2 linked regions of the Oreochromis niloticus genome follow. The main gene of each other region encodes a partner of the protein of the gene in region 2 in a complex. Links are inferred from orthologs where the notes say so. Each region holds a gene or a part of one and is shown on either strand. Other genes may lie near its edges.

The links. Proteins that work in one complex are often made in the same cells at the same time.
Region 1: cnot11 (region 2) and cnot6l share a complex: the UniProt entries of both Homo sapiens proteins name them as parts of the CCR4-NOT complex. The link is inferred for Oreochromis niloticus from reciprocal best matches to the Homo sapiens genes CNOT11 and CNOT6L.

What each region holds. Positions count from the first base shown.
Region 1 is NC_031977.2:33,445,291-33,452,968, forward strand, and holds the start of cnot6l (CCR4-NOT transcription complex subunit 6-like), read right to left. Parts: upstream 3,001-7,678; 5' UTR 2,839-3,000; intron 1-2,838. Other genes in the region: anxa3a (annexin A3a), read right to left, coding at 7,052-7,111. UniProt on the Homo sapiens protein: Has 3'-5' poly(A) exoribonuclease activity for synthetic poly(A) RNA substrate.
Region 2 is NC_031987.2:29,387,667-29,395,495, reverse strand, and holds the start of cnot11 (CCR4-NOT transcription complex subunit 11), read right to left. Parts: upstream 3,012-7,829; 5' UTR 2,805-3,011; intron 2,799-2,804; exon of another isoform or gene 2,624-2,798; intron 2,529-2,623; exon of another isoform or gene 2,406-2,528; 5' UTR 2,384-2,405; coding exon 2,065-2,383; intron 1,850-2,064; coding exon 1,685-1,849; intron 1,507-1,684; coding exon 1,354-1,506; intron 655-1,353; coding exon 452-654; intron 1-451. Other genes in the region: abl interactor 2, read right to left, coding at 6,141-6,316, 6,694-6,876, 7,032-7,112, 7,195-7,359, 7,586-7,829. UniProt on the Homo sapiens protein: Component of the CCR4-NOT complex which is one of the major cellular mRNA deadenylases and is linked to various cellular processes including bulk mRNA degradation, miRNA-mediated repression, translational repression during translational initiation and general transcription regulation.

The DNA.
Region 1 (7,678 bases), on a different chromosome or scaffold from region 2:
AAAAACTCTTAAAGGAAAACACAGCCTGTTTGCAATGTAACCGAGTTCTCTGATAACAGAAACAGACCCACACTTCTTCTCACATACACCAGTTTATACGTTTATTAAAAACTTTTTTTAAATACTCTGCAAAATATTTTCCCTCTCATTCACCCCACCCGCAGCAGTCAACCATTTACCATCAGCAGCCTCAGAAAGCTTTTACCAGCACGTCGCTGCTAGAGATGACTTCCCACCCGTAGCATACCACAATGTCTGGACCAACACGATGCCAAACCAGAAAACCACAGAGGGAGCACCTGGAGGAGAACTGGCAGCGACACAAAGAGCCGATACTCTGACGTAACTCTCCCAGTAGGTTTAAAGAAAGAAAAAAAACTCAGCTAGAGACATTTTTGTAATAAAAGCATCAAATTTCTGATCTTTGAGCAGCTGACTGAAAGCGGTTTCCACCCTTTTGACCAAACAGGATGACAGTAGTGAGTTATTTAGAGCAAGAATCAGACATTAATTCTAGCAGGGGTTTACCTTACAGCCTCAAATCAAGGTGCCAATCAAGAGAAAACACAACACTGTACTTAAGCCCTCTGTGAAAGGCAAGTTTAAAGAAGGAGGTCTGTAAAGGCATTTATTGAATCCCTGGTCTCCTGCTGTCTCCAACAAATACAGGCTGAAATTTTGCCTTTTATTTTCTCTTGATCTCAGAAACAAAAAGAGAAAAATGTCCATTATGTTACATTTGGCTCTTGTTTAGTTTGACCAACAGTCCAAACCACAGTTTAGTATCATACATGTGAGGAAAAAGCATTGCATTTTAAAAGCTGAAGCCTACAAATGTTTCTGGCTGATTTTACTTACATGCCAGATTTTTGTTTTGTTTTGTTTTTTTATTTCAAAGCTATGAAATATCCATGTTTTTAATATAAGTCATCACATGTATCCATGGACCACTTGGCTTTAAAAAACAATTGATTCACAGAGATTTCCGTTTTGGAATCATCTCAAAGTTTGATTAAAATGGCTCAAAGTTCAGTTACAAATACTCGCACTGAATTAAACAACTACTACTGCAGTTTCTTCTCAGACACAAAAACACTATAGAAACTGCTTGTAGAGTTTAATTCTTTATCTGGTTTCTGTGCTCTTGTTTTCCTCACAAACACTAAACTCCCTTTCCTACAAAATCTGTCAGTTTTAGTTCACGCGAGGAAAAACAAATATTACCATAAGTGGCTGGTTAAAGCATAAGAAAGGTCTCCTTTTTACATTTTTTAACCAGGTGCTTCCCTAACCGTGGTTACTTCTGTGCCAAAATAATCTTCCAGTATAGCCTCCCGTCCCACATGGTGGCATTACCCTTCAGAATTGAAACAAAATGCACTTTTTTTTAGGTTTTCTCCAATGAATTATCAGAAAACTTCAAAGTTCAAATATCCAGGGTACCTTTTCTCTGTTCCTCTATGTCACTGACATGAAACTGATGCAGTTATGCGAATTAAACTATGACATAACACATAACCTGATGCTCAAATTTATAGAAGCAAATATGTTGTAATAACACAAAATTTGGCTTTAGACTGTGACACTCTGAACAGATGTAAAATTAATCTGACTGTGGGGTATTTCCTGCACTTAATAAGTTCTGATGAATAAATAAAGCCAAATTTCCCTGAACTTCCAGGGGCTGTCACTTGGTAAGATTTTCAAAGTGTGAAGGTAACATTTTGTATTGCTTCATTAAATATAGTATGCAATTAAAAGCAGCTGATTCTGAGGGAGTCAGATGGGACCTTTGGCTGATTTTATATGACCACATTACAATGCAAAACCCTGCCTAAATAAAATAAAAGTGTAGATGAACCCTGTTTTATTCTACTTTCATCCAGTTTCTGTTTTTATGTCGGTTAACTAAAATGTTTTTGCACACTTAGTTTAGTTTCAGTTTGCTTTAATAACCTTGGCTGACCGCTGCTTGAAGCAGGAGCGTGCAGGTTATTTAAACTCCGCTCCAGTCAGCAAAGCCATGCATGCACAACACTTCATAACTTTTGAGCAGCGTGTATGTCAACATGAAAAGTATGCAAAGCCGAAAAGACGAAGGCGCACGGCTATTATGCAGCAGCTGCCGTGAGGGTTGGCAGAGGGGAATAAGTTTGGAGAAGGACTTACATAACGTGTTTACACACTACTACCAGGTCACAAGTGAGCAGTGACAGATATATAGCTTGCTGGCATCGATTCATATCACAACCATATGGAGACAGGCACGAATCTGCAGCTCCAGCAGAGACTTTTATCACAAGCAGGAGGGGATTTCAATAGTTTAGGCTCCAGATGTTATCGCACACAACCGAAATAGTCTGACAAAAACCACCTTTCAGGGACTGAGGAGTTCTTATTTATTTTATTTCATTTTTTTTTTAATATAGCGATGGCAACTGTTTCAACAGCTGAGTATCCAAACATAGCCATAATGTCAGAAGTGACACGGTCGGGCCCGTTCAGGAGAAGTTCGGCCCACCGCCCTCCAGCTGTCACACCTGACAGCGAGGTAAACACACCCTCTGGATGTGCACACGCCAAGATATTCCACAGCTCCATATACTCAAACAGCTCCAACACGAAGCCCAAACACGGCTAAACCTGCAGCGCTCTCCGAGCACGCCGCTGGATTTGCTTGGCTAGCGGCTGTGAGGCGCGAGCCGCCCGGGCAGCCACCGAGGCGGACTGCGGGGGAGAGGACTTGGCACGAATACGAGCGGATTTAAGTGCTATTGAACCCGGGAGAGCACGGAGAAGGTGGCAGCAGCACAGAAACAAAGTGAGACCTGACATTACCTTCATTCGGGGGCGGTAGAAGACGGGTTATTGCGGGAATTGGCAGCAACATGCAGACGCGGCTGTTGAACCCGTTTAGACCCTGAACGTCTCGGAAACAGAGGGAAGAACAACAAACGCCGTTTCCGCTCGTGCTCGCACACACACCGACCACGCACCCGCCCAGGGCTTCTTCTTCTTCTTCTTCTTGTTAACTTTGGTGCATTAGCGCCACCAACTGGTATGGACTGGAGGCCACAATGTCGCTCAAAAAACAAAACTAACTAACTAACTAACTAACTAACTAAATAAATAAATAAATAAATAACTTCAATCCAATTTTTATAACTAAATATGACCTGATAACTTTCATTTCTGAATTTCCATTGCAGTAAATCGATAAGATCTGTTTTAACTTTGATTACACTGACTACCTTCTCTCACCCTCATATTTCTGACATATAACATGTTCTCTGGTTTCATCATTTCAACAATAGTCCCATTGCATTTACCTGTTTGGTGTTTTCTGGCTATAAATGATTAATTGTTTAAACCACTGTGTCTAAATTCAAGTCGTGATGTAACCCAGTCCTTCCTGTGTTCCTCTCATGTTCCTTCTTGTGTTTTCTTTTGAATCCTGTAAAACCATCATCCTCTCATTTCTCCCTTCCATTGCTTTTCCCAGTTTTCCGTCATTGGCTGCCTCATTATACCTCCTTTGCAACCACATTTTTGGGGTAGCTGTGGCTCAGGAAGTAGAGCAAGTTGGAGGTTCGATCCCTGGCTGTTCTAGTCTGCATGCCAAAGTATCATTGGGCAAGATATGGAGCCCCGAGTTGCTCCTGATGCATTCAGGAGTGTGAATGTGTGTGAATGTAAGACAGAAAAGCACCTAAATGTAAAAGAAAGTGTTTGCATGAATATGTGTGAATGGAACATGTTGCATAAAGTGTGTGAGTGCTTGAGCAGAAAAGCACCACATAAGAACTAGTTCATTTGCCCTTTTATTTCCTTTTACTCCATAATGTGCTGATATCTATGAAAAGGTAACTATAAGCCCATCATACTGATTCTGCATAGCGACTGCTGAATCTCTGTTAGAGTGTCTGGTCTGCTGTCTGATTAACTGCAGTGTTACTGTACCTGCAACACTGCTGCTGGGTTGTTTAAAATGCACCTGTGTAAAGCCTTAAACCCTAGATGTAGGTAAACTTTAGGAGAGATGTTTTTCCTCATTAGCACCAGGATAAGATGAACCTTCAATAGAAAAAAATGATTTAACCCTGAAAATGATGGACCGCCTGCATCATCAAACTTTATGGCAGTGAAGATACTGTATCCTCAGGCAGAAAAATCATGTGTTTGAACACTAGATGGCAGCACGGGTCAAAAATATGTTTCTTATGAAAACTGACACACTATAAATACACCAGAAACTATTCTTGTGAAGGGTAAGAATATCAGATGTAGACTGAGAGCATTATTGTACAACGGACTGACTCAAGAAAAATAAAAACATTATTCACTGAGTGTTGCCACAGTTTCATCATAGTCCGGAATAAATCACTTAAAAAACAGAAAGTCAGTGGGCAAGTACTAGAACTAAGAACATTTCCTCTATGGTTACACACTTTATACTGTGTAGAAACCTACACTGAAAAGTGGATGCGTGTTGTCATATTTTACCGCTTTTTTGTAATTTGATGGCAGTGACACATCTCAATGACGCTGGGCCAGGTTTCCCACTGCGTTCCCTCTTCTTTTAACAGCGGTTCTTTTTGGGAATTGCTGAACTTGTGGGAGAGGAATGTTATCCGATTATTGATTAATGTACTTTATATCAGTATTGGTATATATTCTTCTTTCTGCATCTGTGGCTTATTTTAGATGCAAATATTATAGCTTCCAGTTGCTCAACAGTGTTAGATATTCTTTTTTAATGATGCTCCAAATGTTGTCACCTGGTGAAAGGTCTGGACGGCAGGCAGGTCTGTTCATCACCAGGACTCTTCTACTGTGTCGCCATGCTGTTGTAATCAGTAAGTGATTTAGCACGGACTTTCTGAAATATGCAAGGCCTGTTCTGAAAAACACACTGCCGGGACGGCAGCATATGTTGCTGTAAAAACTCTATAAGCCTGTCAGTACTGATGGGAACTTTCCAGATGTTTAAACTGAGAATTCCATAGACACCGATTCAACTCAATACAGCTAATCTTTTTGCATATAATAATTTTTGGGGATCCCTAAAGAAGTCTTACTTTGATCCAAAGGAAAAGCAGCTGTGTTTTAATCCTACTTTAAACAGTTTTTGTTCATGGGGGTTTCACTCATGAAGCATGGAAATGATATGTAGGCATGAACCTCTTTGCATTTGTTACAGCTAAATTTCACAGTTCTGTTTTGTAACCGCAGCCTGAATTCACTACGACAAGCTTTATTTTCTCTCTCACCACAAGGTCATCCTGCATCATTAAACTGAAGGCCGCTGCAAATCTGGAAGATTGATTTTTTTTTATTTGTTATTTTTCCCTGCCCACTTGGTCTTCCTTAATAAATTCGCTGAGATGTTTCTCTTTTAACCTGCACATGACATGCTGAAATAGTAAATACATCAATACCTCCCCTGTAGAATGATGATGAGTGTATTCAGTTTGCTGGAGGAACAGGTCCACCACCTGATTCTTACAAATTTGCACTTTGAAAGCAATTCCTGATCACTGCTATGCTCATTATCCCATTATCTATTTTCTATCCAGTAAAATGATCAGATACTGGAGCTTTTGTGTTTCCTGACTTTTGTCACCCCTTTTAGCAAGATGAAATTGTTCAAAAGGACAGAAAAACCTTCGCTGTGCAAGATAATGATAAATGTGTTACTTCCTTTTGACCCACACTAAAACAATATAATACTACATCTGCCTTTTCTCTTGCATAATCACAAGAATTGTAATTTACATACATGCCCATCCTAATGTCTGTCATCTTAGCAGTACAAATAACCTGAAGCTGATATTTATTGGTCAAAACAACATTAGAGCTCCATTTTTTAGTCTTAAAATGTAAAAAACAAAAAAAAAAGAAAAAAAAAAGTATCATGATGTCAGCTCTTGTGCAGAGTGAAAATCTTTTGTTTTTGGTGATCAGACTTTTCAGCACCGCTCACTGCTTTTTATCCTCACTCTAACTCCTCTGAGCTGCAGGACTGAATCCTTTCTAACCAACATAAGCATTGACAAATCAGATCAGGGACATTTGGTAGCATTGGCTACCACTGAAATATGATTGGGCCTTGCTGGTGCCACAGTCAATAATTAGATCCAATAATATAATGTATATGATTCTGAAATGTGCCACTCTAAGAATTTAATGACTTTAGATACTTTAGATACTTTAAAAGCATTTTGATTGTACAACTATTAAGCTTCTTATGTAGAAATATAACATTTATTTTGGTAAAAAGTTGATATGCTTGAAAGTATTAATTCAGTGCTATAAAGTACTCCTTTTCCACAGTGATTTTATTTGTGAGTAAATATGCAGATGTCAGAGACACCAAGAAAACAATTCCAAACCTATTCTGAGCTGATATTTATTACTTTCCCTTAATTAACTGCTTTACATGACAATTTCTTTATTATTCATTCAGTAATAGATTAACAGTTACAGCACAGAGGAGCCATTTCTACTTGATTAATTTCAAAGATTTCAGAAAGGATGCACATTTTAATGTATGCTAAAAACTGCTGCAATGGAAATATGTGCAAATTAGATTAAATATTCTAGATGTGGCTAGTTAATCAATAAGACAGAGAAACTGCACCACTAAATCTTTATTTTTATTACATCCTTCTTCGTGTGCAAATTTAAGAAACAGGGTTACAGAGATGCTGTATGGCTAGATTTTACAATTGAAATAAAATGACAGAAGCTTCTATAAAGTAAAAGAAACAACATGTCAATCTCCAAGATATTTTTTTTAGCAGTCGTCTTGTAATTTCCACCACAATCAGAATTGAAATTTACATTAAAACTTGAGCCGACATCTCTCAGCTGACCTGGCTATAAAATTCGCAGTGCTTCCATACAACATCTGCCTTTTACAGCTGTCTAGCTGAGACTGTAAACAAGTTGTGATTTAGTAGGCTGAATAAACAAAAAAGAGAGGCAGACGTGAATGACACAAGCATGAAGGAGAAAGCAGGTTTCTTCTCGTCTTCAGGTGAACCCTCGGTTAATCGTCTCCTCCACAGATGGCCTTCACACACTCACAGTGGTCGCCCGACAGATCTGACTGGAGGACACATCAACACAAGCAAAGAGTCAAGCATCCAAAAGCACATCCCACATTCGGTCTGGATCACTGCAGTTTTTTTTGTACCACACTTTTGTTCTGGTTTTTGTGTCAGTGAGATCAGTGAATGTGGGGTAATCTTTCATTGCAAGAACAGAAACTCCACCCACCTGCTGTTCAAACCTTCAAAGCAGAATAAATAAGCTTAAAGGAATGATCGTCTTAAAGACAGAGGAGCTAAAACAGCTTGTTTCAGGCAGAGGGTGAACTGAGGGGCCCAGTACAAGATATTATACTGGATTATTTTAATCTCTGAATCATGGCAAACTACTCTAGTACAGTCCAAAAAAGTAAAATATGTAGGTGAAACGGACAAAATAGACCACCTTTAACTTCTTAACATGTGCCAGGGCGTCAGAAAAGTGTCAGGGTCCAATGTAACCACATGATGAATAAAAACCGTTTCAGAAGACTTTCAAATCAACTCTCTTGGACAAATTTCGGCTGTAGAGATTTTGTATTAATAGATGCATTTGCTATATAATTTCATATAAGGGGGCAATAATG
Region 2 (7,829 bases):
CCTCAGTAACAACAGACTGTATAATGAATCTCTCTGGGTCTGGGAGTGATGGTCGGACAAAAGATGTCAATTTTTGATGTGGCTAAATATAAAAAATTATCATCTTGTATAAAGATGCATACTGTCCTCCAGTGTCTGGAGAAACAGAAATAAACTCCCACTATCAATCAGCTGTAAACTATCAGGCTTATCCTCTGATTAATCCATCTCATTCCATTTTATTCCTGTTGATTTCACATTCTGACTCTTTTCAAACCATTTTTCAATGTCTTGTCTTAATATATTTGTCTTGTGCTTTTCTCCTTTTTGTGAAGTAGCAACGTTAACCCTGAAATTCCTCTCTGGGTTTATCTAGTTGCACTCCAAAGGCAGCTGGTGGCAGCACCATAGTTTCAGTTTAAATAGAATTTCAGTGCCTGACTTTAAGAGAAGCATTCTGTGGCTGACCCACCTGTGATTGCTGCTGTGCAGACAGCGGGCTCTTGAAGGCCTTGGACATGATGCGTTTGATCTCCACGCCGGTGCTGTTCTTCACACACATGGAGCGATCCCACTGGATGCTGTGATCTGGCTCGGTAGGGTTCAGCCACGCCAGCTCGTCCTCACACACGTGGAGAGGAGGCGGCGGCCGGATGAACTCAGGGCGGAAGTGACCTGAGGATTAAACAACGATATTGAAACACTTGTGATAATCCTGGTCTGTTTCAGACTTAGCTTTATTCATGGGTGGCGGTCTACTCTAGTAACCATGGCTACATGTGTGCCAGCTTTAAAAGGTGTTCTCATGTTCAGAGAGCGATGAATTGTAATATTGGGACACCACGACAAAGAGCTGAAGCTCTGATGCACACACTAGTGAGACTTTCAGGTTCTTGTGTGACCATGCTGCTTCATCTGACTTATGGATGAACATAAGTCAGATGTGCACTTGACAGCTGAAAACCCACAAAACTGCCAGCAAAGCAAAACGTTTACGTGCTTTTCATCTGTGATCTCCTTATTCACACAGCTCCTGTCTTGTAAGCTAGAAGTGAATAACCAGCCCAACGTTTTTTTAGTGATGAGAAACATGATGATAAGACATACTCTTTTCATTTTGCAAATTGCGCACACGCACACATACACAGTGAAATCACTGACTCAGGGTCTTTGTGTCATGTCAAATCATTCTGAAAAAGATGGAACACGATGACCTACCGAGGTGACCTCCTAAATTGATCCCCCCTCCCCCCACCTCCACCTCCACCAACAACAACCGTGGTCAATCCTAAAATCCCTTTTAACGTTCTTTGTTTTCTGCATAACAAAAGCCTTTTTTGAAAAACGAACAAACAAATCACCAATAACACTTACTTTCCAGGGGAGGGCGCGGGCCTGTGACCAGAGACTCTATGATCTGGTTGGCCACAGAGCTGTCGAATCCTGAGTTGGACGAGTCTGGGTCTGGATCGTTGAGAATGCTTGGGAAACTGGCCTTACTCTGAGTGGGCAACTCTGACTGACGCTCTAAACAACAAAGAGACAGAAACAGTGAATTAAAACATAAGAGAAACAAAGTGCACTGCAAACTAAAGAAGAAAAAAAATTGTCTTTTAAAACAAACCAGTATAAACAAGTGACAGTTTTGACCAGTCACACCTAGTCTTTCAATCAGTAGATCATTTATGGGTGAGTGGGTACTGACCTGCCAACGCTAGCTGCAACCCGCTGATGTCTACAGACTGGGGCATGTTGCCAACATCCATGCAGGACACCTGTCTGGGTGTCTTTTTGAAGAGATCCCTGGGAGGTGCCAACATCAGTTGGGACAGGAAGAACTTCTCAGGTTGGGTAATGGGAGGCAGGAAGCCTGGACACCAAACAGATGAGACTTCATAGCCCTCATTCATCATGTTACACAGTCACACCAAGACTGCCAGTGTTACTGGGTGTTTTCCAACAAGAACTGAGCGCAAATGTTTAATTGAACTGAACAAGTTTTTGTGAAATGAGAAACAGTTGGCTGATTTCTTTCTCGGTGACATAACCAAAGTCAGGAAAAAGCGTTTTCACACGGAGACCTACCGGACAGCACCTTCTCCTGCTCCTCTCCGGCAGGTGCGGGGTTCAGCAGGTGCGCGAAAACAGCGGCGAAAGGGTTAGCGGCCAGTGGCTCGGTGCGGTACATCTCCCACAGCAGGTAGAGGGCGATGAGCCGCTGCGGGGAACTGGGCAGTAGGTCCGGTTGCTGCAAAAGCATGACCAACACCGAGCCCACCCTGAAGTGCTCCGCTTTCCCGAAGTAATGATGAAAGTGAGTGGAGAGGCTTTCGAAGGAGTTGGTGCAAGCCTCTTCCGAGATGATGCTCAGCAGGTTGGACAGTTCCTTCGGAGCGAGTGTCATGGTTTCCTCAGCTGAATCTTTTCTGCTTGGGCGGAACCGTTATAAGACTGTATTGTTTTTCTTTAAATAGCTAATATAGCAAATACAGCATCTCCGCAACGAACCGGGTGTGTTTAATTCATATTTGAAGAGGAAATCTGAAAAGCTACAGAATGAAAATAATCAAACGAGTTAGCAAAAAGTTAGCTTAACTAGCATTGCGGCGCTAACTGACATAAAGCGGCATTTTCATAGTCATACCAAATATTCCGCCCCACAAACTCCACTCTGCCCGGTGCTGAAACTGCATAACAGTCTTACAAAAACTAACAAAACATTAACCGATAGAAACATCCAAGTTTGTCCAGGTGTTTTCACGACTGTTGAGAATCGGTGACCGATGTATTAGCAGTTTAAATTCACGACAGTACGTCGGTCATACCGAGCTGCATCATGGGTGATGTAGTTTCGTACAGTGGCGTTTCACTTCCCCCTTAAAATAAACTCGCTAAAACACTTTATATAATCATTTAAGTCATCTATAGGAAAGCAGAAATTTTAGACTCGAAAAGCGTGAAGCGTCATCCAATAAGAGTCACTTTTAAAGCTACAGCTGATCATAAAATAGTGGTTTGACTAACTAAAGAGCTTCTTCCTTTACCCATCAGTCCTAGCGTTACGTTATCATTTCCGGCGTTGTCCTGTCGAAATAAAGTGATCATTGTCGATACACTCACTTAAAAGTGTTCTTTCATTCAGTTTTTTAAAAACCTTTAAGCAGGTTTGTGAATATTTTTTTTTAAAAAAATATTCTCAGTTCTTGTGACCATACGTATTTAATTATTATTTCTTAACTCTTCTGTACGCAGTTTCTACCGTCCAGTCCGATAAATACACGGCAGTAGCACATGCTTATTGTTAAGACATTTATTTTGCATTTTCACTTAAAGAACATTGTGCTTTCAGTCATGTTCACTTTGGAAAGGAGAAAGCTTCTCCTGCGGCCTGTTCTTTCAGGTAGATCCTGAAGAATGAGATGGAAGAAATAAAATGAAAGCGATGATCTAAAGAGAAACCAAAGCTCCTATAAGAAACTCAAACGTGATGAGTGCAATTCAGCAGGGGCGCGTCCAGACTTTTTTTTTTGCCAGCTGATTGTAGGGTGTCTTACTTTCTCTCGTGGTCACGTTTAATGAAATTATTACTAACATAGGAGGGGGGGGGGGGATTTAACTTAAAATATTTTGTGAATCTCAACCCAGAATTGTCCTGTTTAGAGGTTAATGTCTGCACTGAGGGCAATCAAACAGATTCCTGATTTTCTTTTCTTTCTTTCTTTCTTTCTTTTTTTAAAGGCCTTGGAGAAGCTGTCCATAACATTTCACAGTTCATCTCATTTTTTAATCCACACTTTAAAGGGATATTGCAGGCTAAACAAAAACCAGAGTGAGCCAAAGTTTGGAGCAGCTCAAACGATTTGCTGTCTACATTAAAGACATTCTGTCTGAAGGCTGGTGATCGCTGTGTTCACATATGAACTTACACCAGGTTTTTTTGTTTTTTTTTTAACCTTTTCAAAGAGGGTTGTGTGCTGCTTCACACTACACCTTCTGTTCTTTGTGTGCTCCTACAGGGAAGTGTGCAAGTTTCTGATGAGTTGTATCCATTTTAATCTGGACAGCACTTTGTGCTTAAACTTGAAAATACATGGATATATAAATAAATACAATAATATCTGAAAATGTCAGCTTGGTATGTAGGTATTAAAATAATTATTTGCAGCCACACAAGAGAGAATCTTTACCTTACGAGCATCAAGAAAAAAAGTTTTCTTCCTTCAACTCAAACATCTATTAGGGGAAAAACTGTTTCTCATCTTATTTGTTATTTAATTTGGCATACTCTGGTTTCTGTGGTAAAACACCTCTTAAGTTACACTGTACATTAAGGACACACTGTTTTCAGGTCCAAAGTCACTTCAGTCAACAAGGGAACATTTGGTTCTTACTGGTTCTCACACACACGTGCACACAACTCTTCACACACACATATGGCACAAAAATATCCACCTTTTTCTGAGAGTCGGTCTTACGTCCAAGCACACAGGACTTCAGTTAAAGGGCTATTACAAGCAAAAACTGCACAGAAACATCACAACCTCCAGCCGGTCAAACAGACATCATAAAGCAAGCTGGTGAAACTACAGGAAAAGAAAGAAAACAGAATATGGAGAATAAAAATGTCCGTTATATATCAGGCATGCAGTCAAACACACTGTAAACTTAAAAAAACAAAACAAAAACTGATAACAGCTCCAGAATCTCCTCCTGGCGATTAGATCAGGTCCACTTTACTACACGACAACAAAACCACGATGAGGTCGGACACAGGAGAGCTTAGTTCTGCTGTCTGGTCTGACCTCGGTGATTGATCAGATCTCTTGTGGATTAGATAAAATGTTAGTTTAGTTACACACATACATTTATGAAGCTGAAAAGCCGGTTCTGCCTTTGCAGCGTCATTCAACACAGAACTAACAAGAAAACTTCAGCTACTGGAAAACAGACAGTTCCACTTAGACGTCACATCACAGCAGGATGTGTGATGTTAAAGGAACTTTCTATGAGGACAGAAGCTCAGTTTTCACTGAATACTGTCCATGAAGAGAGCAGGATGGCATCCAATCAACTTGCAAAAAGGTCACTCACACAACTTCACTGAGTTTAGTGTTACTGAAGATCTTTGTGCTGTTCGCTTTGTTTAACATAAAAACCTTTCTGACTTGTAGTGTTTTCTTTTATTGTTTCCTTCATGTCAAGTTTATCTCCCAGACTCCGCACTCAGAGAACACCTTCTTTCACCTCATTGGCAGATAAGGCTCTTAGGATTGTTTTTTTTTTTTTTTTTTTTGGCAGATTGGCACCATTAAAAGTGACGCAGGATTAGCTTTTACCAGTTCCACACTACAGTGTCCATTTGAATCAACATCACTGGCTTATGTCTAGATTTCAGCTAGATTTTCTGTTACTTATTATAATAATCACTCTGTTGTGATCATGTCTATGATTTCTAAAAACATTTATGAACATTTAACCACACTTACATACTAAATGGTTTCACATCTGTATGATGCATGCAACATGTGCTGCAAGAGAACAAATTTCTTATGTCAACATCTTAAAATCAATTTCTTGTGATTAAAAAAAATAAAATCAAATGTGTCCTACTCATGTCTTGATCTTCTGGGTGCAGTCATTTATTTTGATAAGTAGGACTTAGATTATTAGGACAATTATCACTTCTGCAGCATACACACATTTGTATGACCGAGACCCGAAAAAACTAAAGTGTTGTCATACCCTGAATGTATGGCAACACCTGTACCATCAAGTCCCACTTAAACATTCTTTTCTAAAATGTGTGTAGTCGTTCTTAAAAGAAACAAAGCTGTTGTGTGGCTGGAAAGCACCGCATTTCATAATTTCTTTGAATTACACTGGGTTGACAAGAAGATACCCAAAGAACTTTACTGACATTTTACTTGCAGGTTGAAAGGTCTCAGGTGTTTTTAAATGAATATCTCACACCTGAAACAACTCTTAGTCCTAAAGCACTCAGGTAAAGCCTGTTATTGATTAAGTGGTCGTTTTGTTTTCACAAGCTCTGACTTTCTTGTGATCAATTAGTGTGAATTTAAGGAGACAAATGGCAACGTGGAACAGGGTCACATTTTCCCTTCTAGTTCTTGACTGCAGCTGTGATTACAGACACGTTTGGCTCAGTCAGCGTAGTGCATGATGGACTCTACGTAGTTTCCAGGGAAGAGACCGGTGGTCGAGTTCATCACTCCTTCAAACCACCCGTCCTCGTTCTTCTTGATGACGTATATGATCGCTCCTTCTTGGAATGACAGCTCGTCCTCCTTGTCGGCCGTGTAGTCGTAGATGGCCACCACTGGAGGGCGACAAACACACCGAAATATGATCACAGAAGGTTCAGTCATTTCACCCGAAGCGGTGCAGTAAATGTAATTACATGCATTTCAGTTTTTATGCACAAATGAAAACAAAAACAAAAAAAATAATTAGCTGCTCACCCCTGTGACTAATGCAACAACTAATATCCAAAGCAATTAATGAGTATAAAAGACATTAATACCTGACTTAGGTATTACCTTAAATCCAAGTTGTGTTATTCTACCCGGAGACGCAGTTTGAGGCTACATATATGAGCAGCTAATTCAAAGAACACTGGTGGAGTGATCTAAGACAACCTCATAAACAATGCTAACTGTAAGTATTTTGTTGCCTCTGTGTATTTCTGTGGCGTACCTTTCTCTAAGTAGTTCCTGGGGGCCCACGGTGGGTCTTCTTCAGCATACGGGTCGTTATACTCCACTACTGCTGAGTCCTCCTCTTCATGCCCATCCTCAGCTGGCTGAGGAGTGGGCAGGGGCTCCTCGTGCGCTACTTGGTTCTCAGTGGCAGGCTGCGGGGGAGGGGGGGCGTCTGAAACTGGAGGTGGGGGATACTTTACATAACCAGAACTGAATCTGGGCTTAAAAGCTGATGATGTCATCCGTTTTGACACACAGATGTTCACGAGAAAAATGATGTGCAGAAACATTTCTCTGATAAATTACTGAAAAAGAATCCAGATTAATACTCACTGGACTCCTGAACTCGAGCTACAAACCCCATCAGAGGAAGCTGAGGGGTGAACTGGAGCAGGGAGGGGGGCGTGGGAGAGGCTGCAAACACAAAAGACAAATTTTTACCAAACTTTCTCAATGTGGGAGTGGAGTGACTGGTGGCTGCTTTTATACTGCATACCTGGGCTCTGGTTGTAGTAGGGACCGCCATTGACCTGATTCTGGGTTGTAATTGGCTGACCGGTCACCGATGGGGGGCGGCGGTAAGGCAGTGACCCCCCCACCTGTGGGGTTTGCTGTCGAGGCTGAGGCCGGTTCATACTGTAGAACTGAGGGACGATAGGGCCTGACCAGCAGAGAGGGGCAACGTTATGAACTCATATTTTCTTAATACAGTGCGTATCAATCAATCAGTGACTCATGATTCAATTCAATTTTAATTTTCTGTGTGTTAAACATGAAGGAAAGAGGTAAAGATTAGCTCCCTGGAGTGGAGATAAAATCCACAGAAACAGAGAGACAAAGGAAGACTTGGTGATGTTTGGAGAGCAGAGGTGTCCCTGAAAACTCACCTTCAGTAGGTGATGAAGAAGAGGAGGAGGAGGAAAGTGGAGGTGGAGGGGCAGGGGGAAGCAGCTCCGACTGGACTTCGGATGTGCTTGGGGAAGAGTTAGAGGGTGGGGAGGTGCCGGCATTTGGCGCATTCGCTTGCGAGTTTGCTTGGGAAGGTGAGCTGGCATGTTGAGAAGGTGAGCTCGGAGGCAGAGGTGCGTTGGGTTGTGTTAAGGTTGTAGTGGAGGAGGAGGAGGAGAAGGA